Linked DNA regions of Drosophila melanogaster. The protein of the gene in region 1 interacts with the protein of each later gene in a pairwise test. Each region holds a gene or a part of one and is shown on either strand. Other genes may lie near its edges. The genes, in order: p130CAS, CG11247 and borr.

Region 1 (5,998 bases):
CAGCACGTAGTAAATGTCCTTGTGCAGAGGATGTGTAGTGATGCTTAAGCCTTGCGGGTGGCGGTTAGACTCGCAGGGGATACGCGACGATGGGTGAACGAAAATGCCCTCAGGATGCCCCTCGACTCGCTCCAGAATCATTTGGGTAAAACCAAGCAGGAAGGGACTTTTGATAATCCGGAAGCGGGTGACCGAGCCATCCTGGGAGAGGCTCAGGAATGGATCGATGTCTGTTTCATGATCGTCGTCTGAAACTTGTTTGATCCAGCGGATGGCAACCACCGGCGAGGAGCCTGGCGAAGTGCTGCGCTGCGAGACCGCAACGGGTGTGTCCTGCAAACTGCTCACATCTCGCACTTCCACGCTGCCGTCGTACAGACCAATGGCGAGCAAGGATGGCAAGAATGGCGAGAAGTTTATTGCCGTTACTGGCACATCGTAGTAGTATGCGCGCTCCGGCTCGCCTGGATTTTTAATGCTCCACAGGAAAACGCTGCCGGAGGTCGGTACGTGCTGTGAGGAAAATGAGTACAGTCCGTAGGCTACAGCCAGGATGTCACCATTGCTGCGGCAGAAATCAATGTCGCTTACGGCCTTGCGCTCGTCTTTGCTGGGCTCCGGTACCAGCCGAAAGAGCAAGTTCATCGAGTAGACGTACTCGGCCTCCGCGTTCCAGCGTTCCACCTGGTCAAAGTTACGGAAGCGTCGTAACCCCGCCTCGTTTGTGTTGCTCGAGAGCGTGCGGCCCATGTACATGATGGCGTTGCGAAACTCGGGGCTCCGGAACAGGCGCTCTATCTGGCTGCTGACCTTGTCTTTTTCGGCAACGGCCTCGTCGTCCTCAAAGGTATCCGCATCCTCCGTCTGCGCTAGAGCCGAGGTCAGGTCCTTTACCGAACTCATAGTGGCTGTTGCGAACTCCTTGGTGATATTGTTCAGCGTGTCGTACATCTCAAAGTTGGAAACGTAAGAGCTGACGGTGGCCTTGGTTATGAGGATGGTGTTGACTGCCCGAGTGGTGAAGAGCAGAGTATCTGTCTGAGCGTCATTGTCTGAGCGCCGGCGAATTTTGCCTTTCCCTATTGTCAGATACTCGTAGTTTCGGTTGTCTCGCTCCGCATCGTCGCCCTCGGGCGATCCCTTGGCCACCGTCGTCTGCGTCTGGCTGTGAATTTCGAAGAAGTCAGACTTGCGTAAGGTGATCTTTAAAAAGGACTTGGTATACGGCTTTGGCTCGTACGCCTCTTCGAGAGCCTCAACAGTGCTGTACGGTTCCCAGTTAATAGTTTCATAAAGTATCTAGTGGAGAATGACGATTCCCGCTGGGATGATACAAAAAAGTTTATATAAACTTACCCCGTTCATCAGGTCGTCAATGGACTGCTTATTGCCGCCTATTCCGGCCCGAACACTAGACCGCGTGCGGGATCTGGTCGTGCTCTTCGCTACCATTGTAGTGAAGTTAGTCATTTGGTGCATGACATTTAGGTTGTACTTCATGAACTGCTCCACATAGGTGTCATCTTGGATCGACTTAGGTGTCATATCAACCTCCTCGCCATAGATCTTTTCCAAAACCTAAGGGGAGTTTGCAATTAGTGGTGGTGAGTTTGTAAGTCCTTTGGGTTCACCTTTATCTGAGATCGATACTGCAGGTCGGCAAGTGTTTCCACACTGTAATAGTGCGTAGTATCTTTCTTCTTAGCCTTAGACTCTTCGGCTTGTGTCTGATTAACCACCACGGACTTCTTTTTGAGTTCGTTGTCTAAGTTACTGGACCGCTTTTTGACGCGTGGGGAACGGTGTTCTATGTAAGAAGTGCAAATTAGATCTTCCAGTAATTACTTACTTTAAAGATACTCCCATTTTCTTGGCTAGTGACTGTATTTCTTACTGACGCGGACATGACTTGTATTTTGTTATGTACTCCTCTTGATTTCGTCCAAATTTTTAATGAGTATTTTGTTATTTTATTATTTTGAGGGCACTGGTTTCTGGTAATACATATGTTTTAACTGCTGATATAACTTTTTTTTACCAAACATTAGTTTCATAGTGTACTTATCTTTCTTTAAAGATTTAAAATGTAATCAAAAACTGAAATGCTTGGAAATCAATTTAAAAAATTAATATTGTGTAATATTAAATTTGAAGTTTAAAAACTCCGAATACCACGAATTTTTACCGTACGGTAACGAAAGGGCTTTGTGCTACTTAACAGGAGCACTCTCTTACTCTCCGTTTCCGTGAGCGTTTTTTACCGAGCTCCCCCTGCGCCTGCTCGTTAGATAATACCGAAATAAAGTTGTCAACCAAGCCACCCTCTGTGGGCGAAGGACGACCGGCTGCCTTTTGAGGTTGCATATGGTTGAGTTAGTTAGATTCGGAGTCGCCAGCCATGCAAACCTGGTTCACACTCGCGTCCGTAATCGTGCTTTTGTTTGGGATGTATTCCAATGTGTAGAGATTCGATTTCTCAATGTAGGTCTGCTTATTTTTTGGTACGCTCCTGATATGAAAAAAACTTGCGGCAGCATCAAAATCTAAAAGGCATCTAACCTAACAAGAGCTAACAATTAATGGAGTGTCAAAGTGAAAACCGAGTACCAGAAAACTCAATTAGTAATGTTGCAACGTACCATACTCTGCCCGAATCCCAAACCTCATCGGTTTTGGCCAAGCATCAGCAGCGACAGCTGAAAGAACCGCAACAGCCGCCGCAGTACGTTATAAATTCAGTGGCAATGCACGCCAAGACGACCACGGCGAACTCCATCACGGGCGGCACACTGCATCGGGCAAAAAGTGCGCAGGTACGTCCAGAATGTTATAAATTAAATGGATAGTATCCGAGGAAGTGGATCGAAGTAAAGCGATGTGATCGCGATGCTTATTGGAGGTAAACCTATTTGACAGGAATTGATATTGACTGCCAACTAGGTGCGCTTAATCGGTGGGGAAACTGGATTTATATATTTGTCCATGGATAATTCAAATCATTCATATTGTTTTTCGGTATCTCAAATCGTTCCGTTAAAAACTTTTGTGCTCTGTACAGGTGTAACAAACTCTTACTATTTTTTACATTTACTACATTTCGGCAAGTAAAATCTGTTACAGCCAAATTCATCGAACGACCCTCTTCCACACGCCATTGCCTGGTTCGACGCGAGTGCAAAAACGAATTTTACTCAGCGAAGCTACACAGATACATACAGATTATGGATACGCAGGGTGCGTAACGTAAACTAACGCTGTAATACTGTTTCTGCCGGCTAACCAAGCTGGGACGGCTAAGTGGCTAAATGGCTACAGGACCATCGGGCCTAAATGCAGCTTCATGGAGGCCGCATGCGTGCAGAGAGAATCGGGCGATGTGCCCATGTTATGTAAACATATTCGGCAGGAAGATAGGGCAGGGTGGACCTCGAGTCGTGACGAAGCAAAAGTCAGGGATCTGGCTAAGGCTGCTGGCTGACTGATTCCCGTGGAGAGTAAGGGTCGTCAGGTGGTGGTGGCTTCTGTGCGTCGCGTCATTCATCAGACGCTCCATGATGTGAAACAAATTCGCCTGGGGAGGCATTGGATGCTTAAGTGAGGTGCTAAAGTTAAGCTGCCAACTTCAATGATGTGGTACTTGACCAGCTACCGATTCAGAAATGTATCTTTTGATTTCGCTGTCAGTTCTACCCTTGTATATATGTATGTATGTATGCTTTCAATTTTATTTGCTCGCGAAAGTTGCTATACGATTTTTCAATGCCAATATGAGAACTGCTATCGACCTTGCCGGGGGTATGAACTTTCCGCAATTAAACCTCACCGGGGTGGTTGTTCTCTGTTCTTTTTCCCGCCACCGAACCACGCTTCGTTCTTTTCCTTAAGCAACATGTTTGGTTACTGAGAGCACTTTTTGCTGAATTTTTCCGAGTGCCGTGCTCCAAGAGCAAGTTGCTCGGAAACATCTGGAGGGTTTAATCAATCTTTGGTGTCCTGACGAGCCGCGAACAATGTTTTGTCAAGTACAAAGGAAGGGAAGATTCTTCTGATCTGATCTGTCATGATAATGGGATGCATTGAAAATGGCCCCAAAAAAAAACTGTTAAAGCAGAAGTTCGTAATTCTAAATCATTTTATGACGATATTGATATATATTAATATATATTTAAATTGCAAAAAGCCCCTAATCAACGTTTTGATGTCTTTTATCTGGCTACTGTGGCTGCCTGTACACAATTTAAAATTTTTGCTGGCACATTTTATTATTACAAATGGCACTTTGGAGAATTGTGTACCACGGATTTTGTAAGCGGCGCTCTAATGATTTATGAATTTATTCAATGACAATTGGCAAGTTGAGCCAAAGTGCTTTTAGCTGGTGAAGCGGACCGGTCATTGAGCCTCGGAACCACTTCATTCGTGGCTGGGAATTGAAATGCACAGAGGAAGAGTTTGAGTTCGCAGTAGTTCACAGTTAGTTCACTGGTGGCCGTCATAGGCGCCAACATATTTTGTTCTTGCATTTAAATTATGAGCTCTGCCATTATGCATCAATCGTTAATCCAGCGGCGGTTAAAAGCAGCACAAAAAGAAAAGACAGTATCTATAACCAACACAGAATAAACAACAATAAAGAAAGTGGAAAGCCGGGAAAAACGTGCGCTGAAAAGTGAAGAATTTAAGTGTACGTGTTGAAAATTCCTCAATTTGTTGTCTGAGAATGAGTATAATTATTTGTGTGTTTCCAGCGGTGGCTTTATTCACCGCGTTCTTTTCCCTGCTAAGACATATTCTTTGGTAACGTGACGGTAGCGAAACTATCTGTTATATGCACACAAAAATAACATTGTGCATCCTCAGTTTTAAGAACTACGTTTTCATGCGAAAATGGTTTTTGATTAAATAACTCCTTAAGTTTTATAGGACTTAAATTGGCAAGTCCAAGAAAAATCATGAAATCACACGCGGTTTCAAAAATCACTTAACCCTGTTGACGTAAATATTTTTCCAGTCCCAGCACTGGATATATCTTCTTTTGCAACATTCGTGCTGCACATGGCAAATATGTATATGATTATTGGTGTCTCGAAGAGATATATCCACTCATTCTAGTCGCCCGGTTTCCCACTCCTCTGAACTTAAAATAATTTATGCAGTTTGGGGACAGCTTTTCCTGGGCAGACTAAAGCGTTGCGGCATTCAATAAATTGCTCTTAAATTATGGAAATGCAGAGCAGCCGAGATTTATTGAGAAGTTTCTAGAGGTGGGGAAAATGTGTATTTTTGGATAGGCTGTATATACGTATTGAGTAAATTCCGATAAACTTAATGTGTATGTCTTAAACCGAAAGCATCGTCATTTTGAGATTATCATCGATCTATGAATACTATGAATTTTTCACATCCCAAATTCTGCCTTTATTGCTGACCCATTAATCCAAATATATCAGATGGCGTCGTTTATATCTCATTGCAGATCAATTGGGCTATTTGGTCGGAATCTTTTTGGTTTCGGGGTCGCCCACGTTTGGCCCCGTATTTCAATTTGACGTTTCTTCAGGTTTGGTAACTGCATTGTCTTAGATCACGCTTTGACCTTATAAACTGGAGGAGCAGGGGTCGCTGGAGAGAGATGATGGACAAAGAGAACACACCAAATATGTTAGATTCATAAATTTTCCAAAAACCTAAACACAATGTTTTGAATTAAGCAACGCTGGGAAGTAGACTGCGGAAATAATTCGTAAATTTATCAGACTAATTTGGTCTCGACATATTGAACTTAGCAGCTCGGGCGCTAAGACTTTTCGAGTGTTCTGGTGAAGTGGGGTAAACCGTTCTCAAATCATTTTCATTCAATTATGCTCAAAAACTTGATTAGCCTTCAAAGCTAAGGAATTAAATTTTAATCTTTTGTGCAACAATTCTATAACATAGGTCAAATGTATGATAAATTCTTTTAGAATGCATCAGTGAGATATCTGAGAACTTCCATATT
Region 2 (8,019 bases), about 22 Mb from region 1:
TCCCAGAGGCCCGTTCCTCAGCGTCTAATCCTGCGTCGCAGTTGGTAGACTTTAAAACTTTAGCGTAAGCAAATACGTCACTGCGTCAGACTTAAGGAAATATCATACAGGCAAAGACTCTAGAATAATTATTCTAGTGTCTTTGATACAGGGCTGGAATCTATTCTAACGATATCATGCACTCACCGTACACAGAAAATATATTTACAAAATATTACTTACAAAATTCAATTTAAAATGAAATCCATACTGAAACTAATAGGAAAGCGTTATATTTATTATTTTTTTTATTCCTGTGTAAAAATAATATACAATTATTTTGTATAAGCACTCCCTTTTAAAGAAATCTAACCACACATTTTCATAACAGCCAGTACTTACACGCGCCTTAGTCACCACCTCCATGGGCACGTATCGTTGGACCTGGCTTATAAGTCATCGGCCTCGAGGTTTCTTCGGGCGTTTGAATTGGGCAGTTCCCAAGGGCATTCCTAGGGGGTATTTATAGGCGCCACTTAGCCGCCCATGCAGCAGTTCATGTCAGCACACCACAATGTCCGGTTATCCAAGTGCTTCTCTGGTCACCTTTGCGCTTTGTTCCATTCTTTGCCTGAATGGAATTGAAGGCAGTCATCTGAGGTTCCCAGGACCCGCGGCGGGAAGGTTTCTGCAAAGACAGGAACAAGCCCCATATCCACCAGCAGGCCTGGTCCCCGATCCGCCATTCGACCTGCCAACGGAGGAGGCGGTTGAATTTCCTCAACCGGAGGATACATATGGCCCTCCACCTGAAACATACGGACCACCGTCTTTGGTGGAAGCGCCAGCTGAGGTCTACGGCCCACCGGACCAAATTTATGGACCTCCCGATCAGACCTACGGACCTCCAGACCAGCCAGCCAATGATGACAGCTCCAACACATTGCCACAAAGCGCAGCTATAATTAATTTGGCAAGTCTGCCGCTACCACCCCAGGCTCAGTATGTTCTGCCGCTTCTGAACCGACTTTCTGCCTTCCGCCCGCAGCGTCCGGTTCTGCGGACTCCGCAGCGACGGCCGGCTAAGCTTACGGTTCGTCGTCGGCCAGATGCGGTCAAGATTGTGAATGCTATTAGGCCTACTCCAGTGTTCCCATCGACTCCGCAGGCTTTGCCCTTCGTGGATCGCCACATTCCTTTTCGCCCACGGCCATCTCGCCTGATAGTCAATGCGCCTTTCAGACGCCCATCCAGGCAATAGACTACTTCTTTCAGCACTCCAAGCAATGTCATGAATACACTGTAAATAAAGTTTGTTGTCTATGTCTAATTTGCGATCGAAAATAATTAGGTAGAAAATTCAGAAGGCCAGCCGCTTCATCAGCAGGTACATGTGCTGGTCCACCTCGAAGCCATGAAGATTGTTGGCGTCACCCTGAAGTCGCATCAGCAAGCCGCCGAATGACACGTAGGCGGAGAGCCGGGAGGCCTCATTGTGTGCTTCGTCGCCCTCGATCCTGTAGATCTTGCCGTACATCACGTACTCAAAGCTGTCCGCCCGCGTTCCCTCGTGCTCCATTGGATTGTACTCCCCGCTGTCCGGGCAACCATCCTCGCGCAGGGTGGTGGCCAAAACCAGGCGGAACTTGTCGCCCAGCTCCATGGGGTATAGCCACGAGTTGATGTCCAGGATGAGGTCCATCTTAAACGACTCGGACTCGCAGTGCAGGCGGGATACACGGTCGAACTTTTTGCCCTCCGGATCCATGTCCTTTACGTTGAAGATGTCCTCAAAGAGTACTCCAGCCATTTTAACTGAAATGTAGTATTTGATGAGTTATTGCTTTGAAGTCAGTTTAGTGGAGCTCCAAAAACGCACGCCTTACCTTGAGTCGGCTAATTAGATTTTATACGTATTTGATCTTATATGCGGAGGTAAATGCGTGTTCTTTTATGAACTGGGTTTATATCAGCAGAATTTTATTATATTTAAACTGTTAGCGACTAATATTTATTTCTTAAATATTTTGCATGCGCGTGTTAAGTATGAGAGATGCCAGATCTTTCTGGCGGCTTGAGTGTTGCCACACGTCTGCGATTTCAGTGAGCAAAGTGGTCACGTTCAGCAGGCTGTGATTTCAGTGTGTAAAAGAAGTCACGTTCAACAAAGTGTGCCTCACTTTGTTCTTACTGAAATTTCAATAAATATTGCAGTGATACTGCGCAATGTGATTTTTAACTTATTTATAACTTATTGCGCCGCAACCTACACGTTATTGGATTTTCTCTAACTAGTGACTGTGCATCACGCTCCCATCTGTGGCCGCGCAGACAGAGAGTCCCAGTGTGACCGTCTATCGGTGAATACACATCACTAACATTAAGAACAACATCGAAAAACCACCGAAAACTGTTATTTATTTTGCTGGACAAAACGCAGTATTGGCTTAGAATCGGCAAACCCGCAAAGTCCCACAAAGGTTAAGCCGCAGGCAGCACGATGGATACACCTTGAGGAGCCAGTCGGACTGCCACCTAGCGGATTGCAAAAAGTATGTACACACAGCTCGTGGTGTCGAAATTAAAAACAAATAAGAAGCGAACTCATAGTCGGACGCGGAATGCATAGGAAGTCCAGGTGTGTCCCATTCGGGGTGATGCTAAGTTTCCTGTGGATCGAAGGCCCTTAGCCTAGCGACTCCTGCTTTTTGCGAAGGTAAGTCCACGCCCGGTGGGGCTTTGGTGTTGGTGTTGAATGTGGAGCCCCTGGGCCAAATGTGTAGCATATGTGTATAATGGATTGCTTTACGTATATGAGTGCTGTGGTGCTGGTTCATTAATTACTAACAATCGGTTGCAAGACCCCGAAAACTACACAGTCGTCGAGTTTTGTGCCCCGAATACGAAAGACTTCAACGGCCCCTACCCTCATCCAGCGACCGCCGCCGCCTTAACCCTTACCCACCCCCATAACCCCGCCTATTTAGCATTACAAAACTGCTGTTATGTATTCACTTCTTTATTTTCGCTTTTTGTGTGTGATTTTCGCTGTCGTTCGTGCTTTTTGCCCTGTTCTCTTTCAATTTCGATTCCCAGCTGCGGATTCTAGCTTAAATTCGCTTTTTCAACAGTTTGGTCGAGGGCCGTTGTGCTGCTAAAGTGAGTTAGTTTTCAGCTTCTGCGGGTGCGGCTCTAATGAACCATTAACCCTCCGCAGGGGGAGGGGGTTGCTTGGCACTGGAATCGGAATCGGAGGGTTCCCAATCTGCTTGCCAGATGTTCGTCCCAGCCCAGGGTCATCGTAATCGCTCTCTTGCAGTTGCATTTTCAGTGTTCTCGCTTTTCATTGGAAACTCCGCCGCCTCGGAGAACAGACGCCGCGGGATCGAAAACGCTCAGGTTGCACAGCTTTATCTCGATATCTTTTTATAGCTCTACCGTGATTTTAGTGAAAGCGGTGGATTGCTTATCAGTTGTTGCCTTCCTCGGGATCTTATCAGGCGGTTTCTCCATCTCGCTCCCGCCCAAACAAAAGATTAAGACAACAAACTAAGAATTTTTTTTGGAAGCTTACGTTCGCTGGAAATGTCAATTGATAATGCGACCCACTTCAAGACTTGGGCTCCTAGCTCTGTACACCGTGAAAAACAGTCCACAACCTTCCGTTGTTAACTAGATTTGTAAAGAAACGAATATATTTTCTAATTGGATAGCCAATGAATTGCAATTAATTAATTAATTATGATAAACAACGTCTAAAAATCTCAAGTGATTTCGACAACACTGCAAAAATAGTAAGAACTATTGCATTAACGTAAAAAGTGCCATGCTTTTCGAAGCCCCTAAATATGCAAATCCACCAATTTTGGTAATATTTTTCCTGTGCATAGGTCTTATCACTGTTGACACAGCTGGAGTTTCTGTTCCGTTGCTGTTTCTCTTCTTGTTTCTGTTTCGGCTTCACTTGCGGTTACTATTTCTGTCTGTGTTTTTGATTCTCCGTCTGCTTCGGAACGTGGCGCTCGGCGAGTGGAGAATTAAAACAGCTCTTAACTTTTTTTGCAGCCCATCTGAACTAATCCAAACCAAAGGTGAATGGGAACTATCCTAGAAGTAGCAATCGAACCAAAAAATACGAATACCCTAAATTACATACGTAGAACATTAACCCTAGAAGTAAAGACAAACGCAGCAGGTGCCGGTGTTTCCCAGGAAGCGGTCCCCAGAAATTTAGTTACGAATCCAAATAATAAAAACCAAACAAATGGTACGCAGCCGTCGTAGTGTGTCCAAGGAGGATGCCGTCTCTCTGCTCACAGACAGCGGCATATCGCTGTCTTCGCCGCCGGCGGCGAGGGAATCCTCACCAGGCCCTACGCTTGCGATCAAAAGGAGGAAGAGCAGCTTGGCAAGTCTGCGCGATGCTTGTGTGGACGAGGAGGAGGACGACGGCGGAGAGCAGGACTCAAAGGATGATGATTACGTGCAACCGCAGCTTAAGAAGTCTGCCCGAAAGGGCGAACCGGTGAAACGCAAGCACCATGTCTGCAGTCAATGCTCCAAAGAGTTCGGTGGCAAGACGGATCTGCAGCGCCACATGCTTATCCACTCGGACGAACGACCGCACAAGTGCAAGGATTGTGGCAAGAGCTACCGCCAGGCGGTCAACCTGAAAAATCATATCACCACCGCCCACGAGCATCGGAAACAGTTCGTTTGTTCCCAGTGCCCAAAATCATTCGCCCTCAAGGAGCGCCTGCGGCTCCACATGCGCCTCCACTCTGGCGAGAAGCCCTATCCTTGCGACCTCTGCGACAAAAAATTCGCCCGAGGAGGTCAAGTGAGTAATACGACATTCCATTTTTAACTGAGATTTAACAATTAATTTTATATTTTTCTCATAATTTGATTTATTATAAACTTAAATAATAATATTTATTATAATAATTAAATATAAATAAGTGTATTTAATAATGAACTTTCTATTAGGCTTTTGTTTTTATAGGTCTTAACCATTGGTGTTCCTAATATATATTATCATTTATATTGCAGCTGCAACAGCACATGGTTTCTCACCACAAGACGAGTATCCAGCAGTTCAACTGCACTAAGTGCTCGGCCAGCTTCTCAACCAACGCCAATTTACGGGTGCACATGGAGCGACACGAGCAGGGCATGGAGCACCGGTGCAGCATCTGTGAGAACCAATTCGCCAACGAGCTGGCCCTGCGAGCGCACATAAACCAGGAGCACCACAAGCTGACGCAATTTGAGTGCGAGATATGCCATAAGATGATCGAGCCGGACGAGGATTTGGCCACTCACATGCAGAGGCACACCGCTGTTAAGACCCACGTCTGCGAGGTGTGCAACACATATTTCACCCAGAAAAGCCAGTACAATGTCCATATGCGAATGCACACGGGAGAGCGCCCCTATCAGTGTAGGGTAAGTTGAAAGGGTGTTAGCTTGCATGCAGCCGTAAATTATGTTTCTACTTCCATCAGATCTGCCACCAGACCTTTGCCCATTCAAGCGTACTAAAACTGCACATCCGAAAGCATACGGGGGAAAAACCCTTTCGCTGCCAGCTGTGCGAAGACGAAGTAGCCTTTTCTCAGCTGGCGCACCTAAAGAACCACATGAAGAAGATACACAAACAGCAAAAGCCCTACATGTGCGAAGGCTGCCACGATTTCTTTAAGATCAAGGTGGAGCTGCAGTCGCATGTTGAGCACTGCGCCAAGTGTCCAGTTGACGGGGACAAACCCAGTGGCAATCAGTCTGAAGATGCGCAAATTCTCTCTGTCTTAAGATTTAACATGGCAGTGGTACTGAAGAAAATTAGCTCCGCTCAAAAGCTGCGCCAGTTGGGCTACGAGAAGCGTCTAATCGATAACGTTATCATTGCATCCTTGAAGCTGGCTCAGCGACAATCCCATGACGACGCCACGATGACCCCATTGGCCAGACTCCGGCTAAATGTGGAGGAATTTCTTAAGTGGATTGTGCCAGCCCCCACTATGCAGAAATTCAGCGACGAATTGTTGTCTATAGACACGATTCTTGAGAAAATTGCTACCATGTATATGAAACAGAAGTAGAATCCAGGAGTTGATAGCCAACGCCAAATGCGAGTGTGCCATAGAAGAAGGATTTGTAGAACTAGTTCTTGCCATTTAGTTTAGTGTTTAGTAACCCAAAGTTGCAGAACGAAACCCAACCAAATAATTTATCCCAAAGATATATACTTTGTAGTACAGGTCATTTTAATGAATTACTACCCTTAATCCCAATTTTGCTGCTACCAAAAAGTATAATTTGAAGAATGTATGAGTTAGTGTTGTCATAATAATTTCCCTATTAAAGGAAATTAGTTTAAGAACGAATTTCGATGCAATAATTTATAAAATAATAGGCATAACACGATTGAAACCTGAAATATTTTTGTATGCTTAGTCTTGCCAGAGCAACAGATTGTCCCGGAGTGAATCTATAACAGCTCAAGTACAATACAACTCATTGTGGCCATGCTTGTAAAATTAATAAGCTTAATGCATTTAGTTGCCATTTGTCTTTTCCAACAAAAGTGCAAAATCTGAAGTGTACAACTGAAATGCAAATCAAAATACGCAAGTGAAAAAATGAAATGAATAATAAATATTATTTGTGACTACAACCCAACACTGGATATTAGTTTTTCGGACTTTTTAATCATGAAACAATTTGCAGCAAGTATTATTTTCGCTTATTTTTAAGATTTCGTAAGTCTGCGAGCTTACGTAAGAGTTAGAGAAAGTTTATGAGAACGAATGATAAAAAGAACACATTCCCTTAACTAAGAGTGAGCACGTCCACTATCCCACAAAGCTGCTCCCACACTTTTGAATATATTAATATTAATTTAATAATTTTGGTTTTTATTATTATTATTGAAAGTTTCTATGTTTATTCCAAAAGGATTTTGGCCGTCTACAACAAATGGCAAAGGCCTTACATATTATTTCAGTCAACTTTCGATCTTGCTGTAGCTGGTGTCTGGAAGTTGAGGATCTCGACTAGCATCTTAGGAAGCGACACGGCTTGAATCAATCAATTTTCTGCATCTCCTGGCTTGCGTGCCTTTGACCTTTGAGGCTCATCTATGGAATTTCAAGTCCGGCTGGAAGCTGCATTCCATATTTGAATGCGGCCAAAAGAGCAACGAGTCGCACAGAAACACCCAGGCACACCCAACCGGGCTGGCATCTAACCACATAAACAGTTAGGTACAAGTGCCCCATGGGTCCCTGCCCGTTGGCCATAAATGGTCTGGGCTTGTGCACAAATTTATAAGCCACTTACATTAAGGTGGCCAATATTTTTTATGGCAAGCCCCGCACTGCATGCGAACCGAGCTCTCTGAGCAGCGGTGGCATCTGCAGGCGCTGTGGCACCTGCCCGCGCCACTTCCTCCGGTCCGCCACCTTCCACCCACCCGGAGCAATTAATGAAATTTGCACGGCGAATTTATTGACGCGACCGTTAGTGTCAACCCAAAGGATTTGCTTGGCCACGAGATGTATGTACAATTTTATGTGTCAAATATAGTTATGATTTTATGATACCCCGCTTGGGTAGCAGGCTGGGATTTTCCTCCGGCCATACCATTGCGTGTCTGTCACCTGAAGCTGCTGATGTAATCTCCGCCGGTATGCCATCCCATCTCACCCCATGCCGTTCCCGCTCCCGATCTCGATTTCTTGTCCCGGGAAGCAGCTTAATGTCTACATTTGTTCTGGCCGTTGCGTGTTCAGTGGTTGCCCTTTTTGCAATCTCAGCTAACTCGGTTACTCCTGCTCCCACCAACCAGCAACCACCGCCCACCGCCCACTGCCACTTCTATGTCCTCCTGCTTCTCCACGACCGTGGCAACTGCAAGTCAGGCACTCCAGCTCCTTCAGCTTCTTCCACAGATTTAGTCTCGCCATTTCCAGCAGCTGCCGCTGCCATGGCGCATTAGAACAAATTGCTCTTGTTGCGATAGGAAGGATGGACATG
Region 3 (5,022 bases), on another chromosome or scaffold:
GGGAAATATGGCTGGCTGTGGGTGGTAGGTGGTGGGTGTTGGGTGCTTAAACGCACATTTGTAAGTAGTTGTGTAATCTATCCATGAACGTCGCTTCCGCTTTGCATTTTATATGCTCAACGCATCGTTTGGCCGGCGCAAATTGAGTTTCGTTGTCGTTGCTGCTGCTGAAATATCTGCTCTCGGATGGATAGATGGATGGATGGATAGATAGATGTCTGGATGAATGCCTCGGATATATCCCTTTTCCCCACAGCCATCGATTGGTAATGACGTTTGGTAGAGCCCACCCACCTTTAGGTTCATCCACTTTGTGGCTTAAGGCAAGAACGAGCATCAAGCCAATTAAAACTTCTAGCCCATCAACTTAATTAAGAAAAGGCCGAAATTATGCGACTATCATAAAAGTGCGGTGAACGTACGGTATCAAGAAAGATTTTCCTAATTGGTAAGCCATAAATTGTATTAATAAATTTTATTAGTTATACACCTGCTTAGAACGAATAACCTATGTATTTGCCAGACGTTGTAAACCGTTTTCAACGCTTTAATATGCTTTTAGATGCGGATTGTTATTTCATTATACAGATGTTAACATCCAGAAACAGTCCGTTTTAAGGATTGGGACTAGCAGGTCATACATAGTAACATGTTCAAGTATTGTTTTATATGCGTCATTCTAGCCTGGGCTTCTCGTGATGTTCTCGCTAACAAAACGGAAAATCCGCTGCTAATTGATCAAGTGGCTATAAATCAACAACAATGGTTCACATTCATTGCGCTGAAGGAAAGTGAAATGCAACAGAAAATAGTGAGGATCGAAAGATCGATAGAAGAACGATTGATGGCCATGCAAAGCAAGTTGGCATACGCACTGAACGAGCTGCAGACCATAATGGGCAACCAGAGTGTGGAGACTCTCGAGAAACTACGAATCTCGCACAGGATTAATCCGGCGCTTTTCCAGAGAATGGGCACAAGACGCTTCTACATTGAGAAGGAAAACAAACAAAATTGGTTTGGCGCCTCAAACACCTGTCGTCAATTGGGCGGTCACATTGCCACCATCAGGGATGAGCAGGAGTTTAATGAGATCTTCTCAAGAGCGCCGGCCGGCGTCTTTTGGATAGATATGAATGCTATGTTCAAGAACGGCCTTTTTGCATCATCACTCACCGGCAGATCGCCGCCGTTCTTTAAGTGGAAGAAAGAAGAAAGGGGCAATAAGTTCGATTGCGTTAATGTATACAACAAGGAAATGTACAATGAAAATTGTTTCAACACCCATTTGTTCATATGTCAAGCCGAGCAGTGGGATTGATGCGAATGCGAAAATAATAAATTAAGTTATTTTCATTTTGCATCTCGGCAATTTACCGACAGCTTTTAATAAAGTTATGAGCCTACTGTCTTTTTTATTTTACTAGCCCAAAAATGAAGTACATAACTGTTTTCTCAGCCAAGAGGATCATTAAGATTATTGGGTAATGAAAATTAAAATATTTTCCCTTAAGTACAAAACCAGGCCAATCCATATGGGGTTTCCATCAAGTGCCCAGAAAGCGGTGCTTGGTATTTCAAAATGCCTTACACACATGACGTGTCCACGTTCTGTGCAGAAATAAGGGCGGCCAGTGCCACGCCCCTCCACAAGGAAGCCACCCAAATGGTGACAAAAATGCTTTTGATTTGTGGGCCATTCGCACACCCATAGCCACCCACGCTTATTAGAATCCTGCCATTGTGGCAGCCAAAGTGCAACTAGCAGAGACAGATAGCAAACATCCAACAATGTGGAGCAGAGCGCAATTTATGACCAGGGGCGAGATTTCGAAACGGACTAATAGGATTGCGGCTCCAATTTTTGGGGCTTTTCATTTCAGATACCTCCGCACATACGATGCAAAATTATATCTCGAGTTTTCACTTACGTTATTATACGCTCTAGTGTGCAAGTCTTTAGTTTTTCCAATTATTACTATTCAATAATACTAATATACCAATATTGTATTTTGTTATAATAATAAGATGCTATTACCGTTACATTATTAACAAATGGGTAGTTGGAATTCCCCTTTCAAAAATAAAGATATAAAAAAAATCGATCTCTATGTTGTAGGGAACTAGTTCATTGAGATTAGTTGCAGAACTCATTGGAATTATTCAAAACTCATTATTCAAAATATAGATAAATAAATATAGAAGATATATACTTAAATGTGTTATTTTGGAGTGACTTCAGTTAAGTTCGAATTATTTAATTGAATTTACCGCGCATTAGTGTTACCATTTTACACTTACACCATCAAAATATTTCTAGTATTTTCAATCGGTCGTGAACTGGGCAATGAAAAGCCATCTGGCAACACTGTTCCATGACGCTTGAATTTTAGCGGACAAACTCGAAAAGAAATAGCAAAAAGACGACGCTTGCTACGAAAATAGTTATTCCTCGCAAAAACCCTGTAACGTGTAAACAAAGGCCGCTGCCACGATGCCGCGCACCAAGATACCAAAGAACTCCAAACGCAACCGCGAGGTGGCCAATCGCGAAGAGAAGGTGCGCCTGTACGAGCTGAAAATGGATTCCCGCCTTATCAGCATCGATTCGCTGGAGACCAAGTTCCTCTCCGCCGTGGACCACCAGGTGAAGACACTGCTCGGCCAGGTGCAGAAGGAGCTGGCCAATCTGAAGATGCCCGAAGTGCTGCGCCTCTTCGAGGAACTGGACCGCTTCAGCGACTTCAAGGCCAGCGATCAGACGCAGCTGCTCGCCTCGATGTCCATGAGTGGCAGCGCCATCGAGGGCCACGCCCCCTCCGCCACTGGAAGTCGCAATGACGAAGGTTTGTTGGCCTATATATGTATGCTGTTATACCAATCTGCTGGCAAGGATGTCATCACCCGAATTACAAATGAATACCGGTTTTACATGCCAAATTGGCAAATTCCATTGTATATTCGGTATTCATCATACCCTCTTGTTGCCATTTTCACTTTTAATTTTAATCTAACTGGTGTCCGGCTTTGTGACTAACTCAACTTTGCTTTCTAACTCCGCACCGCACATTTCAATGCACGCAAAATGCATATACCCACATCCACATCCTGTGCCGGTCACTGTATCTAGGCTACCTTACAGAGGACAGCAGCATCGGTGCCAGCGGTGGGAGCATCCTGGCCGCCCACACAGGCTCCCTGCTGCGGTCCACGAAGGCCATGCGCACACCCGGACCACTGCACTCGGCGAGGGCTCGTCGAGCGCGGCGCAGTCGTTCCGCCTGCGGGGATCTCAACATATTGCACTCGGCCAAACCGCCGTCAATTTCGAGCAGCAGCAGCAGCAGCCGCAATTCGCGCAGCAAACTGCGCACACCGATGGCCTCGCGTGCGAAGGCCTTCAGTGCCGACCGCACTCCTTTGAAACAGAAGCAAATGCGCTCCGGATCGCCAACTACACCGCCGATGGCATTCCTGCGCTATCCCAAGCCCGGCGAGGTGGCACTATCCAAATACGGCAGTCCCATGGTGGCTCAAGTGTAAGTATTGATCACATACTACGTGTCGATACCAATTTGTTAAAACCATTTTTCCCACACGATAGAATGCCAGACAAGTTCGCCAATGTGAACATACCCATTCGGAACGGAGTTCTTAGCTTGCGGCCCAAAAAACTGGATGCCGACGAGGTGGAGTCAAATCTGTTGGAGAACCTGGACGAGGACACCCTTAACCAGATCAAAACGCTGCACGAGAACTTGCAGATGATTGTTAATAAGGCCAGCCAGGCGGTGTTCAAGTAGCTGTCATTTCAAACGCTTATCTAGATATAATGCTATATCATATATTTTAATACGTTTCGTTTAAGTTCAGTTTTCATTTTACTCATTTAGTTCAAGTATTTTGTCTTTATTCATAAAAATCTATCGTATTTGCATAAGTTTCAATACATGTTCATATCCAAGTGTACGGCGATTTAAATGTAATGTTTTAAATACATGCTTAATCCAAAAAAAAAAAAATGAAGCGTTCCATGATGATTACTCGCCTTCAAGCAAAACGACGGAGAATCGAAAGAGATGAGAAAGTGAGAATCCAATTTAATTCTGCAATGGATAAAGTCGATGAGATGGCCAAGTTGTTCAAGCAGGATGTGGACAACAAATTGGGTTTGCTTCAAGCCAGGACTGATGCTCGTTTGCTGCAGATGAAATGGTCGGATTTCATGGCTCTAGCAAAAACTGCTACCTTCAAATAACATCTTTCTTTTGCTAATTGCAAAAGAGGCAACCGCTTTTAAGTTCCCAGATTTCAGAAAGTGGCCAATAAAATTATGTTATGTTAAAAATGTTTAAAATGTATTTTCGCACGTTGATATGAATACAGTTTTGAATCGCTTGTTCACCAAAGAGCCCTTTGACTTTGTTAGAATTAGGCGATTAGTTGACTGGAATATATAAATCGTTAGAAATATGCCTCGCACCAAGATTACAGCTCGTCGTCAGGCCCAGCGCCAGAAGGCTGATCGCGAAGAGAAAGTGCGCCTGTCCCAAATCAAAATGGATTCGGCTCTGGAGAAGATCGATGAGATGAGCAAGCGCTACAAGCAAGAGGTGGACAACCAAATTAAGGTGATCCGTGGTAGGACTGATAAGCAGCTACTGCAAATGAAGATGCCAGAATTCTTGGCTCTCGGGTTTAAGACTTTTGCCGAATTTCAGAGGGCAGGTGAGATTTAATTTAACTGTCGGCAATAGAAGAGTAATTGTTATTTTTGTTTTACTTTCTTTCCAGCTATTAAGCCGCCCACAACTCGCAGTTTGTCCATCAGTCGTGGTCGAACACGAACTCCGCAGAATGCCCTGCCACCGAGGCTTCAGGCGCATTCGGTGGACAGGGCTCTGAGTGGCGACACCATGAGCTTTGTGCGATGGCCCCGCGCCGGAGAGATGGTGCTCTCGAAGGCGGGAAGCCCGCTGGCCGTCCAGATGCGTCCGGATCGCTATGCGGACGTCCACATTC

What was found.
Region 2: the proteins of p130CAS (region 1) and CG11247 interact in a two-hybrid assay, tested with the Drosophila melanogaster proteins (one large-scale study listed by BioGRID).
Region 3: the proteins of p130CAS (region 1) and borr interact in a two-hybrid assay, tested with the Drosophila melanogaster proteins (one large-scale study listed by BioGRID).

Annotation. Positions count from the first base shown.
Region 1 is NT_037436.4:150,492-156,489, forward strand, and holds the start of p130CAS (p130CAS), read left to right. Parts: upstream 1-2,392; 5' UTR 2,393-2,579; coding exon 2,580-2,813; intron 2,814-5,998. Other genes in the region: Dic61B (dynein intermediate chain at 61B), read right to left, coding at 1-1,299, 1,357-1,578, 1,632-1,781, 1,850-1,906.
Region 2 is NT_037436.4:21,722,963-21,730,981, reverse strand, and holds CG11247 (uncharacterized protein), read left to right. Parts: upstream 1-2,175; 5' UTR 2,176-2,531; exon of another isoform or gene 2,532-2,589; 5' UTR 2,590-2,695; intron 2,696-4,044; 5' UTR 4,045-4,243; coding exon 4,244-4,819; intron 4,820-5,031; coding exon 5,032-5,427; intron 5,428-5,486; coding exon 5,487-6,083; 3' UTR 6,084-6,656; downstream 6,657-8,019. Other genes in the region: CG14569 (uncharacterized protein), read left to right, coding at 1-48; CG14570 (uncharacterized protein), read left to right, coding at 554-1,240; Polr2H (RNA polymerase II, I and III subunit H), read right to left, coding at 1,340-1,789.
Region 3 is NT_033779.5:9,250,459-9,255,480, reverse strand, and holds borr (borealin-related), read left to right. Parts: upstream 1-2,362; 5' UTR 2,363-2,494; coding exon 2,495-2,846; intron 2,847-3,130; coding exon 3,131-3,539; intron 3,540-3,604; coding exon 3,605-3,803; 3' UTR 3,804-4,009; downstream 4,010-5,022. Other genes in the region: lectin-30A, read left to right, coding at 650-1,321; aust (australin), read left to right, coding at 4,473-4,728, 4,795-5,022. UniProt on the Drosophila melanogaster protein: Component of the chromosomal passenger complex (CPC), a complex that acts as a key regulator of embryonic mitosis.